Arabidopsis thaliana: one gene and its partners. The protein of the gene in region 1 interacts with the protein of each later gene in a pairwise test. Each region holds a gene or a part of one and is shown in the gene's direction. Other genes may lie near its edges.

Region 1 (4,197 bases):
TACCTTCACTGTTTACTATACAAAAAATCTCTGTTTTAGTGAATAATATATGCAACTAAGTTTTTCGCAATAAAAATACAATAAAAAAATTGTAGCTAGCTATAGTCTGGTCACAAACCATAGGAAATGTAGCCTCTAAAAATAAAATCAATAACAAATTTGTACTGATCTTTTTATATCGACATAAATTTGGTGAAAGTCCAAATAACATGTTTTTCGTACCATAATCAACCAAGTGGTGTTCCTTCAACAGATACATAAAACGAGGCAAAATAAAAGTGAACGAGGCAGACAAAGAATTTTCCAAACCTCATTTAAGGGACTAGGTTGACTTTAGTCCTTTACTTTAGAAGAGAGTTGCAGTTTTCATCTATTGTAGGGGTTACACAAAATTTGTTCTTATGTGAGTCCAATTGCCAAATTGTACATCACTCGAAGACAAATTGGGCCCAAACTGTGTAGAATGGGTTTGGGCTGCCAACCCATAATAAACCTTAAGTTGAAAATGAATTAGTTTGGCACATGCTTTTTTTTGTCATGTTCATGCTTTTAAAAAAATTCAAAATTGGCCTAACAAGTTTCACATCTCTAGAATGTTGTTCCTAGCTGGCTAGTTCCACGCACGTGTCACACTATAATTTGTCATTTCGTGAATGAAGAAATCATTCCAACACTTTTGTTATTTTGATAACCATACAAGGAATAACACGTGAAGGAATTTAGGAAACGAGAGATTCTAGAGAAGTCACCTAGTTTTGTATTTAAAAAAGGTGCTCAAAATTAGAAAAATATCGAATTTTGTTGAAAAAGGGAAAAATAAACAAAGACAAAGTAGTAAATAGAAACTTGGGCATGAAGCTAAGGATATGACTGGTCGCCGAGAATTAATAACCACACAGTATTATTACAAAAAGTATACAAACCGAAACTTCTCGCGGTGATGATGAAACCTCAACGCAATGTTATCGTCACATCAATTTGATTCCTCATTATAGTATGAATGAAAAAGCAGATTAAACAGAAAATACATAAAGAGCTCTATAACTCAATAGGAAATATTTACCACTCACCTATGTTTTTCTTACACTTTCACTCTAATTTATTTTGACAAAAGAAAAATTGTATTATATTATTTAAAGACTTGACTTTCTCTTTAATATTTTACTGTTTTTTATATTTAAAGCAATATAAAAAATTATCATCATTTTAATTAAATTTATTATCCCTACCATTTTACCAAACCAACTCAGTAATAAACTCATTTCATACACATATTTGACAAATATGTCGACTGTCAGAATCTAGAATACTATTTGTCAAATGAAAGTGATTACATTATGAGATAACGATAGAAATATCCACATCTCTCCTGATCACCAGTCAACATATCTTTTATTAACGAATTGACTGGTAGTTTAAGACGCTAATTATCCTTTGCTCTATAATACCATTTCAATCGATATTTTAACTAATTATATACTATTAGAAATGAAATGACAAATCTGCCGAAAGCTTTTTTCTTTTTAATATTTTGTCAAAAGAAGACACACAAAAAAAAAGTAAATTGTATTAGAAAAAATCCAAGACAGAGAAAAAAGTAAACGCGTAGACAGATGGCGACAGGAGAAAGAGAGAGTGGAGAAGAAGAAAAGAATTGCGATCAAAGAAAATTAGACTTCTTTCTTCCAACGTTTTCACATTACAAATACACAAAAACCAAAAGATAAAGAAAAACAAGAAATATTTTGTTTTTCGATCTGAAAAAGTGAAAGCTTCTTCAAAATCTTTGCTTTAGAGATCGTTTGGTGATTTTTTTTCTTTATTTTTTTTTTATAGTTTCTTCTTCTTGATTCTTTCATATGGATGGACATCAGCATCATCACCTTCACCAGCTTCAATATCTCAACAAGCATCATCTTCATACTCAATCGCAAACGCCGGAAATAGCCTCTCCGGTAGCTGTTGGGGATAGGTTTCCACAGTGGAGCGTCGAAGAGACAAAAGAGTTGATAGGGATAAGAGGAGAGCTAGATCAAACTTTCATGGAGACAAAACGGAACAAGCTTCTTTGGGAAGTTATCTCTAACAAGATGAGAGACAAAAGCTTTCCTCGTAGCCCTGAACAGTGCAAGTGCAAGTGGAAGAACCTCGTCACTCGTTTTAAGGTCTATTCTCTCTCTCCCTCTTCTTTCATTTTGTGGATGTTTTATAATCTTGGAGGTCTTGCATGGAACAAATAAATAAATAAAAATTTGTAACCAAGAAATATTGAATCTTATAGTCCATAATCTTTCCGGGACATATAGACAAACACCATTGTAAATATTTCTGAATCTTGTTGTCCATAATCTGCTAAGTAGTTTAATTATATGTATACAATCTCATTGGTGATGTATTGCTTGATGTTTCTAGGGATGTGAGACAATGGAGGCAGAGACAGCGAGACAACAGTTCCCTTTTTATGATGATATGCAAAATATATTTACCACTAGAATGCAGAGAATGCTATGGGCTGAATCCGAGGGAGGAGGAGGGGGAACAAGCGGGGCAGCGAGAAAGAGAGAGTATTCTTCAGATGAGGAAGAAGAGAATGTGAATGAAGAGCTAGTAGATGTCAGCAACGACCCAAAAATTCTAAATCCGAAAAAGAACATTGCAAAGAAGCGAAAAGGCGGTAGTAATAGTAGTAATAGCAATAATGGTGTAAGAGAAGTGTTGGAAGAGTTTATGAGACATCAAGTGAGAATGGAGAGCGAGTGGAGAGAAGGATGGGAGGCTAGGGAGAAGGAAAGAGCAGAGAAAGAAGAAGAATGGAGAAGGAAGATGGAGGAGCTTGAGAAGGAGAGGTTGGCAATGGAGCGGATGTGGCGGGATAGAGAGGAGCAACGGCGGTCGAGGGAGGAGATGAGAGCAGAGAAGAGGGATTCACTTATCAATGCATTGCTTGCTAAGCTTACTAGAGATGGTTCCCTCTAATCTTTTGTCAGCTTTGCTTAACCTAAATTAACTTGTTCTTATATGCTTGTTTGGGGTGTAGTGTAGGTACAATTATTTGGTGGGGGAAGATAATATCTACGGCAAATCTCAACACTCATATATTGATTGATATGATGACATATTTGAGTTTTAGTGAGGCTTTAGTAATTTATCATCCCCACATTATTTCTTCCTAGTTTATATTTTGGCGAGCCAAATTCTTATAGCATATCATTTAATCTTAGTAGTATACTGGTTTTAATTAGTAATTTGTAGGACCGTATGTGTAGTATTTTAGAGTAATTTGGATTTTGTTAGAGTTAACCTACAAATCCATATATAGTGCAGCGAATGTAATATCGGTTTCAAATATTATCTTCATGCAGAAGAGAACGAGGATACTAATAGTTTATGGTATTATGAACTAATTAACTTTGATGAGAATGTAGAGATCAAGAGGGCAAAACAGTTAGTGGAAATATTAAACATGCTCGAAACAAGAATGAAAACTTATCCTATGAATTATGGGATCATTTAGGTCCATTGTCTGCGATCTAAACTTTTATTATTTTACCATAAATGTTTTCTTGTAACATTGAGAATCATATCTAACATGGCAAGATAATACGTGAATGCGTATGGCGTTTCTTATCCACATAAATTTGTTTTACTTATGTTTTTTTTTTGTTTTCCACATAAAGATTAGTAAAGATCTTGTATTATTTTATTTGTAAATTTATATTTATATAATTATATACTAAGGAGATGCTTAATGAATAAAATACACATCACATGTTAATTCTAGAAAATACGTTAACCAGTTTTTTTTTGGTAACATTGTTGTTTCTTTATTTATTTACTAGCTATGAACTCATGCGTGGATTTATTTGTAAAAAATTTAACAGTTTTTTGTGTGACTAAAATATTTTATTGAAAATTTTGAAAATATGATTTTATATATCTATTTGTTGTTAATATTATAAACTCTTTGAATTTTAAAATTATCATGACAAATAGTAACAATTTAAATACATAACTAGAAATAACCTTTATACAACTCTTAGATTTTACAACATTTAGCAAAAGAACATTTTTTTGGTTAATGACTCTCTCTTTAGCTTTAGATATTTAGGATAACGACGTCTTTTTTTACGTATTAAATAAATTGTTGTATAGGAAATAGATTCGACGATTCTCATTTTGGTACCCGCAAATTTACTA
Region 2 (4,162 bases), on another chromosome or scaffold:
ATTTATTATCACTTATCAGCATTCAAGTCCAACTTTTTACTTCAAAACAAACAAAACTAGAAAATCCAATTCAATCAATTTTATTGGAGCATTTAAGTTAATCTCAAGTAGTTTAAACTTGAAAGAGTTGGATTCACAACTTATTGTATACACGAGAAAAAATGTAACAAACGATATTCCAAAAAAAAAAGTCAATTAAAGTGAACTTATCAGAATAACATTGTTCTTCATCATGTTTAAAACCCCAAAACAAAATCCAATTGCAAACACCGGTTTCTCAATGTACATCTCTCAAAAAAACATAGTAAACGACTGTACATAATGAAAATGGGAACTCTTTCTATGAACCATCGAAGACTCCAAGTATTCTATTACACTGGTTAGGGAGTTGAAAAGAAGTAAACCATAATGTGTCAAATCCGATCCAACATCAATTCCGTTAGCGCTTAAGAAGTCTTTTTGCATCTGCAATATCCTGCAATATAACAATAGCACCAAAACAAACTAGTACATAATCAACATTAACAACAGCTAGGAGCAAAAGCACTAGTCAAGAACTTAATTTAACCTTAATTAACAATTCGAGTTAACAAAGAAAGAAAAGAGTACTGAAAGTACCCGCTGCAGAAAAACTGCTTCTTTAGGAGAGGTAGGGAACTGCACTAAACCGATTCCAACAATTAATAGCAAAGGACACTACAACGTATATAGGTAGCTGGTGCAAAGATATACATTATTAATATTGACTAACTGAGAATAGCAATAAGCAAAAATGAGCACAACAGACTCATTACTAACCAACTATGTTTGGCTACGAGCCATAATTGCAGCCTGCAAGAGAGCAAACTAAAAGGCAGAGACAGCTACCAGCAGGCTCAAAATCTTGACCACATGCTTCATTGTCCTTGAAACAAAGTTTATGTAAGATTTGAGTATTGACAATATACCAGAAAAGAGGACTACACTAATGCATTTTCCGATTTCTTGCATATTTGGAGCTGACCATGAACGGGTGCCATTAAAGGATATCTATAGAAGTGAATTCCTTCAAATAACAAATTGCCAATTCTAAATCCATTACGCATAATTTCCACACATCTTAAGCAACTTATGTCCAGACCAGAATCTAGCATAGTCATGATAACTAAAAGAACAGTAAAATGCAACCCAAACCATCAAAATGGGAAAGGAAAAAAAAACGACTTTTCACATTTTCTTGGATCTCATAATACAAGCGGTCAGGAGCTCAAAGCCCTTTAAGCATAATTTGTAGAACCTGAATCTTAAAAAAAAAAAGAAACACAAATACATGATTTCCCACCGTTCCTCAGGATTTTAAACATTCTATAGTCAGATCCTCAGGAAATCAAAGCCATTACACAACACATTTCAGAACATTATAGGCTAAATGATTTGAAAACTTGAATCCTAAAATTCATTAAGCTGCCCCAAAACCAAGCTTCTACTAACAAAACAAACTACAATTAACCATCCGAATCAAACCATGCACCCAAAACTCGAATTGAAATTTGATATATCTAACAATGATTGAGCTGCCATCAGAATGAATTATTAGAAAATAATTTTGTCACGGTTCCTTCAGACCAGAGTAAACTCCAATCATCCGAAACTCAAAACCCTTGCGCAAAATTTTCAATCATCATTTGGCAACTTATTCAATCAAACCAACAACGAAAATAAACAAAAGGTTACATAAAACTAACCAAGCCTATGTTCTAAAGCAAACGAAATCAAAAAATTCAAACAATCAATAAGATGCTCCACTATTTGCGGGAGAGATGGAACCTTTAAGCTCACAGATCTCGCCGCCATTCTCAATGTTTCTTCGGCTGTTTTAAATAGTTGTGTCATTAGGGTTTTTATTCAGGTCTTAAAATCATGGGTATAATCGTCAATTTCACAAAATAAGCCTTTGTCCTGGATAAGCTAAACCAGTTTCCAAACAAATCTTGCTTCGATTCACAAATTATTACGATTGCAATCCCTAATTTGGAAGTCCCGGTTCCTCTTTCGATCAAATCGGAGAATTTCACGGCATGGCTACGGCTGTTGGTGGCGGAAGCGATGTGGAGGTTGGATTTGCGAAGCTTCAAGGTGAGGATTTCGAGTACTATATGCAGTCTTACTCCATTATACTCGGCCGGAATTCTAAGAAAGCCACCGTCGACGTTGATCTCTCATCCCTCGGCGGTGGGATGAACATCTCGCGCAACCACGCTCGGATCTTCTATGACTTCACTAGACGACGCTTCTCTCTCGAGGTCCTTGGCAAAAATGGCTGCCTCGTTGAAGGTGTTCTTCATCTCCCTGGGAATCCTAACGTCAAGCTCGATTCACAAGACCTTTTGCAGATCGGAGACAAAGAGTTCTACTTTCTCCTACCGGTTCGGAGCATCTTAGGCGGGCCGTTGGGACCTAGGCACCACGTCTCTGGGCAAACAAGTGTTGTTCCATACCATAATTATCAGTCGGGTCCAGGTTCTGGGTCGGGTAAGAAGGGCGTCAGGAGTAGAGAGTTGTATGAGTACGATGATGAAGATGATGATGACGACGACGATGAGGAGGACGATATGAGAGGAAGTGGAAAGAAAACAAGGAGAGATGGACATGAAGTAGTATATGCTTCCGGAGGTAAAACCAGATTGCTCATGATTGTTTGAGTTTTCATTGTGCAACTAGATATGTTTCAGATTATGATGCTTACTTGATCACATCAGGCTTGTTTCTTTAGACTTTGATTGTGGTGGTTGCTGATTGAACCTTGTTAGACTTGGATTGAATTTGAATGCTAGTGACACCACGACATTGTATCTGCTTCATTTGTGCAGAGAAGAAGAGAGAGGGAAGATCAAAGGTAGATCGTGAAGCTGATGATCAACAATTTTTGCAGCTGGAGGAAAAAGATGTTGTATCGTCTGTTGCCACTGTGCTTTCCGATTTGTGTGGTCCGGGAGAGTGGATGCCTATGGAAAAACTTCATTCGGTGGTTAGTTTTTATGAGAAAGTTCCTTGCCTTTTTCTAATACAGAATGTAGTACGAGTAATCAATTGAAACAAGACTTGTATAATGTCAAGGTGATAATTAGTGTGAAGCTAGGTCCTTAATTAGTTTTCCAATGGAAACGCGCTACGCTACTTATATGTGTCTAAGTCTAGAAAGTATGTCAGTTACTCCATAGATTTTGAATGACTAGTGTAGTCTGACTATGAACTTCTTTGTGATTCAATATGATGGCTAATGCATGGTAGTGGTTGGTCTGTGACAGATATTAAAGGAGTATGGAAACGTATGGCATCACAGTCGAGTAAGAAGATACCTATCACAAGAAGACTGGGCTATCCCTGAAGCAAAAGGTAAACCATGGTACGGTTTGCTGATGCTGCTGAGAAAATACCCGGAGCATTTCGTCATCAACACGAGATCAAAGGGAAGAGTTACCCTTGAATTCGTTTCCCTCGTTACCCTACTCTCATGAGAACTTTACCTTAGTGACTCGGATTAAGATTTAAGAAGCTTTTCTCTCTTTTCTTTGTTTCATATGTAAAATATTTTGGCATTGATTAGTAACACGCTGTGTCGTTTTTCTGCACCCAAAAACGCCAACTTCTTGGTCCTTGCAGTTGAGAGATTTTGATTTTCTTTTTCTTGATTCTTATTTTTGATAAACCCATCGAGATTTTTCTTTCATCAAAGGGCAAAAAATTCGTGCCAATTCAGAAATCGTTATGTTCGGTGGATTTGGGCCATAAAAAGAGAAAAGGCCGAAACAGAGAATGATCCAAAGTGGCTCAAGTACGTATCCAGACAATATAAAAAGGTTGGAATGTGCAAACTTAGGGTTATACTCGTATCTTGTAGCAGCCACTAAAGCAAAATTCTGAGATCGAAAAAGCTATATAAAAAAAAAAAACTGCTTCCGTTTCATCGATTTTGTCCAGATCTTCCCCTTCTTCCGGTAATCGAAGCTTACGAGATAGTTGAGTGAAGATGATCTATGATGTGAACTCTGGTCTATTCAGATCCTTCCTGAGCCAGAAGGGTAGCTCGTCCGACAAAAGGTACAAAATCTTGTCTTGTCTGATCCAAATATGAGATTATCTCGATGTTGTTCCCAGATCTATCTATTGATGTGTCATTCTT
Region 3 (5,189 bases), on another chromosome or scaffold:
ATACCAAGGAGAATCTGATTTAGATTTGAAACTAGTACTACATAAGTGAAACTGAGTAATTAAGTGAAGATTAATAACCTCAACAGATATTCGATAAGTATCAATGAAACACTTGTTAACATATGTGATAGCATCTTGAGCTTCTTGTTCAGTACGAAAGCCAATATAAGCAAATTGTCTACTTTTGCCATCACTGCAAAAGCAAAACGAAATATAGTGACACAAGAATTAGCTGTGAAAAACACTCGATTTGAATGTACCTTTTACGCTTCAATTTCACGTCTGCGATTTCTCCTTTTCGTGAAAAGACATCTCGAAGTCGTTCCTCTGTCACATGTTTGGAAGGAAGATTCTTAACGATTATCCAAGACCTGTAATTTACAGAAGGCCGAAACAAAAAAAAATAACTTGCCTACATTGATTGTTTTCTGCTAAACCTAATTAGTTAAAGGAAAAAGAAAACTGTTGTGGGAAATCAATACTTACATTCTCAAGTTAGGGTTTCTAATAGACGAAGAAGATGGATTTTGTTTCCTTCTTGCAATGTTTTTGAAGACTCTAAGAGTGTCGGACTAGGAAGAAGAAGAAGAGGAGAGGGGTTTTAGGTATTTTGTTGTTCCTTCCAGACCCGGCCCTGAATGGAAGCGGGTAGGGTTTAGGACACTTAATGACGAGAGGAACTTTCCATACATGCATCTTAGTCTGTACGACGAAGTTATTGTATTTGATCACGTGCAAAAGGTATTGCTTCTGTTACCATATTTGGTAAGTACATGTTTGAAGAACCATATAAGTCTTTGAACCAGAAGCGTTGCCCTTGAAGAATTAGGTTTTATATTATATGTTTTTCGGATATGAGTTCATGTTTTCAAGCAGAGACAAAGCTTTTCATTTCTTGATTTTGTAAGATTTACATTTAAGACTCCATCAATGAAAGCTGTGATCATAATCACTTTGACAAAAGACAAAAACAGAGAAACTTTAGTGTTTGTTATCGTAATCAACGATCTCAGAATCGGTAACGGATCTGGAGTTTTGCACGATGGAACGTCCAATGGAATTGATCCAATCTTCTTTCTCCTTCTCCGAATCAGCAATGAAGTACATAGTCTCATTTCTCGTCGATAGCTCGAACGCGTTTTGCTTGTTGAGTACATCCTCTGCTCCTTTAGCGGTTAAGCACGATTCTACGGGGACGACACCGCGAGGGCGTGACACACGCGTGACGTCGGAGTCTTTGAACCAGAAGAGTTTCCCTTGTTTGAGCACGAACCATCGGCGTCGCCAAGTCTTGATGTACTCTCCTTGTTTCGTGAGCCAGCCGGTTCGTTCTGGGTTTGACCAGAACTCTACGCCTCCGTAGTCTTCGGAATTGTTGTTCTGACCGCCGATTACTGCTCGCCACAGGCTTGCCATCTTCCGAAGATTGAACTGGAGAATTAGGGTTTTGATCCAAATCTGCCGATGCTATCGAAAATCTGTTTATCGATTCCATTATTTTTTCGTGTTTATCTTTTGCCCCAAAATGTTTTTATTTTTCATTTTCTTCCCTTAAAATATTTATAATTACATAACAACCCCTTCATTTTGCCAATTGCATAACAGTCAGCAACAATGTTTTAATATTGAAAAAAAAAGTCAAATGTGAAAGAAGATTATGTCTTCTTCTCCAAACGGAAAGAGCTTAGCAAAATTCTTCTGAATGAATAATCGGCGATTATGTCTTTGAAAAACGATGCGAGTAGTAGCCACGACGGTGGAAGCAACAGAGAAAGCGTAATCGATGATCATGGCCGCCGTAAAAGCACTTGCGGCTACTGTAAATCCCCAGCTCGGTCCAGTATCTCTCACGGTTCGTTTAATTTTGCTTTTCTTACGGATTAGGTTGTTGAATCGATCGATTAGAGTAGAATCTTCTCGAATTGCTCATATGCTTGATAAGAATTGATTTTGTTTATGATCTTAAAGTTCCAATGAATAAATGATTGATAAACATAGTGAATGTCAATGCAGGTTTATCAGCACAGACTCTTACCGTTTATGACTACCAAGGTTTGTTGCTATTATTGGACTCTATGTGTGATGAACCAATTTTGTTGACAGAATAGAGATCTTTTATGTATCTTTGCTTTACTTTTCTGTAGCTCTTATTGACCGAGGCTGGAGAAGATCTGGTACTTATCTTTACAAACATGAGATGGATAAAACGTGTTGCCCTCCTTATACGATACGTTTGAAAGCAAGTGATTTTGTTCCTACTAAAGAGCAGCAGCGAGTTTCTAGAAGACTAGAAAGGTGCATATAGCTTCACTTTGCTTCTCTTTTTGGATCAATAGATGAAAGTTTTTGTGGTGTTAGTTGTTTCATGTTATTGGCTTAGTCGGAAAGGTTTTACCTTTGAAACATGCATATGAGGAGAGATCTATGATTCTGATGTGTAAATATTCTTCACGATCTTCAGATTTCTCTAATGAAGTCGTTCATTGAAGAGCTTCCTGAATTTTCTTAATAATGTTTTGTCAAAGGTTCTTGGATGGCAAACTAGATGTGCAGCCCAGGGAACAAAGAGGTGCTTCTTCCTCTGGTGATGTTTCAGATACAAGGAGAAAAACACTTGGAGCTGCTAAAAGTGAAGAGAATAAGAAAGTTGAAGCAGTTATGGATGATTTGTCTAAAAATATTGACCAAGCTGTGCAATTATGCATACGGAGTGGGGAATTCCCGTCTAATATGCAGATACCAAAAGCTTCAGTGAAGAAGGTTTTCTGTGCTAGAAGAAAGAAACTAGCTGAAGGAACAGAACAAATCTTATACACCAGCAACATTGCTTTTCCAATAGCAGCTGCAATAAAACGCATCCAGACATCTGAGAAAGAGGGGATAAATAGTGCAGAAGGAAATAGATTATCACCTGAAACTATTTCTGAGATGTTGTTGAGTGCAATGCATAAGGTGGGGGAAACTCCTGATGTGTCTATCAAAGTCTGTAAGGGCCATATCAATTTCCTTTCATCTGCCAAAGATTCTTTTTCTGATAGAGATGTTGTACCTAATGGTAACATCTCGAGAGGAGCCAATTCTTTAGATGGAAGTGAAACCCTTCACGCTAAGAAGGATTCAGAAAACCATCAGGCAAGAAAGCGAAAGCTGGAGATACATTTGAAAAGGTCTAGTTTTGATCCTGAAGAACATGAGTTATACAAACGGTATCAGCTGAAAGTGCACAATGATAAGCCAGGGCACGTTGTAGAAAGTTCATACAGAAGGTTTTTGGTCGACTCTCCTTTAATAGATGTTCAACCTTCAGGTGATGAAAAGGTTCCGCCTTGTGGCTTCGGCTCTTTCCACCAACAATATAGAATTGATGGCCGCCTAATTGCCGTCGGGGTTGTAGACATTCTTCCTAAATGTTTGTCAAGTGTATACTTATTCTGGGATCCAGACTATGCATTCTTATCGCTCGGAAAATATTCTGCCATTCAAGAAATTAATTGGGTTATAGAGAACCAAGCTCGCTGCCCTTCTCTTCAGTATTACTATCTTGGTTATTATATACATTCCTGCAGCAAGATGAGATATAAAGCAGCCTATCGTCCATCTGAGCTTCTATGTCCTCTCCGTTTCCAGTAAGTTACAACCAAACTGAGTCGTATATTTTTTTACTCTATGCCTTAGTTTATCATTGATCTCCTCTCATATGAAGTTCTGGTACTTGTAAAAAGATATTTATGTCCTCTTCTTAGACATGTCATTGAAGTGAAGAGACTGGTAAATGTAAGTTTTTAACACTCGGAGTTGTGTTTCCAGGTGGGTTCCATTTGAAGTAGCAAGGCCGATGCTTGATAAAAAGCCATATGTCATATTGTCCGATATTGCTATTTCACATAATCAATGTTCTTTACTAGCTGGTGCTTCTGAAACTCTCGTGGAACCAGCAGCAAGTGAACATGAAGACATGGAACAAGGGGAGACGAATGATAACTTTATGGGCTGCAGTGATGAGGATGAAGATGAGGATGAGGATGATGATGATGATGATGATGATGATGAGGAAATGTATGAGACTGAATCAGAGGACTCTCATATTGAGTCAGACCCTGGATCCAAAGATAACGACATTAACAACATCCTTATCGGTCTTTATGGATCCCAATATAGATACAAGGTACATCAAACTTCTTCTTCTTTTTTTGTTTCTTTTTGAATTATCATAGCTAATTGGGTATTTATTGAGCATTATCAAACTCTCCTCATATTGATGACAACTAAACAAAAAAAAATGGATTTGGAAGGAAATGCGGCAGATCATAACTCCCGTAGGCAGGAAGCAACTGGAACCGATGTTACAAAGCTACCGCAAGGTTGTGGGCGCTGAGCTTTCAGAGAGAATGGTGTATGAAATCAACTGAAGCTTCAACAATACCAAGCTCCATTGAGCTTTGGTACCATTAGTCATTAGATAAAACTCAAAATTGTTTGTATTCATGTTTCAGTTGTTGTATATCTATGACTATGAGACTTGTACATGGTGTCTTTCTTTAAGTTTGTATTTTCTGATTACCTTTATATTGAAAAAATTTCTGTCCAAGAAGTTGAAAACTAACTTACTGTTCATGAAGTAGTTTTTGTCAATCTTTGGTACGTACATATGGTTTTGTTATGCTTTTTAATTTTTGCAAGAAACAAACTACAAATAGAGAGGTTTTATTACGATAATAAAAGTTTATAATAATAACTATTGGGAGATATCCAAAACTATATTATTTGTAATATTATCGAGCTACATATCAGCAATTCAGCATTACAGATATAAATGTATAAAAAATAGTAAAAGGAGAAAGGGAATGAGGAGGAGAGAGGCGCACGTGGGGAGGCCTGACAGTGAAAAAGAAAGGCAAAGGCCCACACGAGCAGATTTCAGACTTTGGGAAGTGTTAAGTAAAAAAGAATAAAGGTTTTTTAAATTTTTTTTAACATTCTCAGAATTTTTGCAGCAGAACACTTTTTACCACATCTCTCACACGTGTGCCCCTCCTCGTCTTCCGTAATCTTCTTTTTTTTTCTTGACCCTTTTGACCGCTAGCTACTTCTCCTACTAGGAGTATCTTCTTCTTCTTTTTTTCTTTTTTAAAATGTATTTGAAACTACCAATTTAAATCCAAAGAGTTTTGAAGCTTTTCTTCACAACG

The links. Proteins that work in one complex are often made in the same cells at the same time.
Region 2: the proteins of AT2G38250 (region 1) and FHA2 interact in binary tests that used the Arabidopsis thaliana proteins (3 or more experiments, as listed by UniProt).
Region 3: the proteins of AT2G38250 (region 1) and ATE1 interact in binary tests that used the Arabidopsis thaliana proteins (3 or more experiments, as listed by UniProt).

What each region holds. Positions count from the first base shown.
Region 1 is NC_003071.7:16,016,525-16,020,721, forward strand, and holds AT2G38250 (Homeodomain-like superfamily protein), read left to right. Parts: upstream 1-1,685; 5' UTR 1,686-1,859; coding exon 1,860-2,165; intron 2,166-2,412; coding exon 2,413-2,976; 3' UTR 2,977-3,632; downstream 3,633-4,197.
Region 2 is NC_003074.8:2,295,911-2,300,072, forward strand, and holds FHA2 (SMAD/FHA domain-containing protein), read left to right. Parts: upstream 1-1,975; 5' UTR 1,976-2,057; coding exon 2,058-2,652; intron 2,653-2,849; coding exon 2,850-3,007; intron 3,008-3,287; coding exon 3,288-3,497; 3' UTR 3,498-3,662; downstream 3,663-4,162. Other genes in the region: AT3G07230 (wound-responsive protein-like protein), read left to right, coding at 4,010-4,080. UniProt on the Arabidopsis thaliana protein: May play a role in the control of plant organ development and specifically in the regulation of stamen development. Does not show transactivation activity in yeast.
Region 3 is NC_003076.8:1,712,170-1,717,358, reverse strand, and holds ATE1 (arginine-tRNA protein transferase 1), read left to right. Parts: upstream 1-1,627; 5' UTR 1,628-1,719; coding exon 1,720-1,852; intron 1,853-2,013; coding exon 2,014-2,052; exon of another isoform or gene 2,053-2,144; coding exon 2,145-2,295; intron 2,296-2,525; coding exon 2,526-3,626; intron 3,627-3,807; coding exon 3,808-4,165; intron 4,166-4,292; coding exon 4,293-4,409; 3' UTR 4,410-4,689; downstream 4,690-5,189. Other genes in the region: AT5G05720 (RNA-binding (RRM/RBD/RNP motifs) family protein), read right to left, coding at 79-193, 261-371, 487-488; AT5G05710 (Pleckstrin homology (PH) domain superfamily protein), read right to left, coding at 982-1,416. UniProt on the Arabidopsis thaliana protein: Involved in the post-translational conjugation of arginine to the N-terminal aspartate or glutamate of a protein. This arginylation is required for degradation of the protein via the ubiquitin pathway. Component of the N-end rule pathway with ATE2 and PRT6.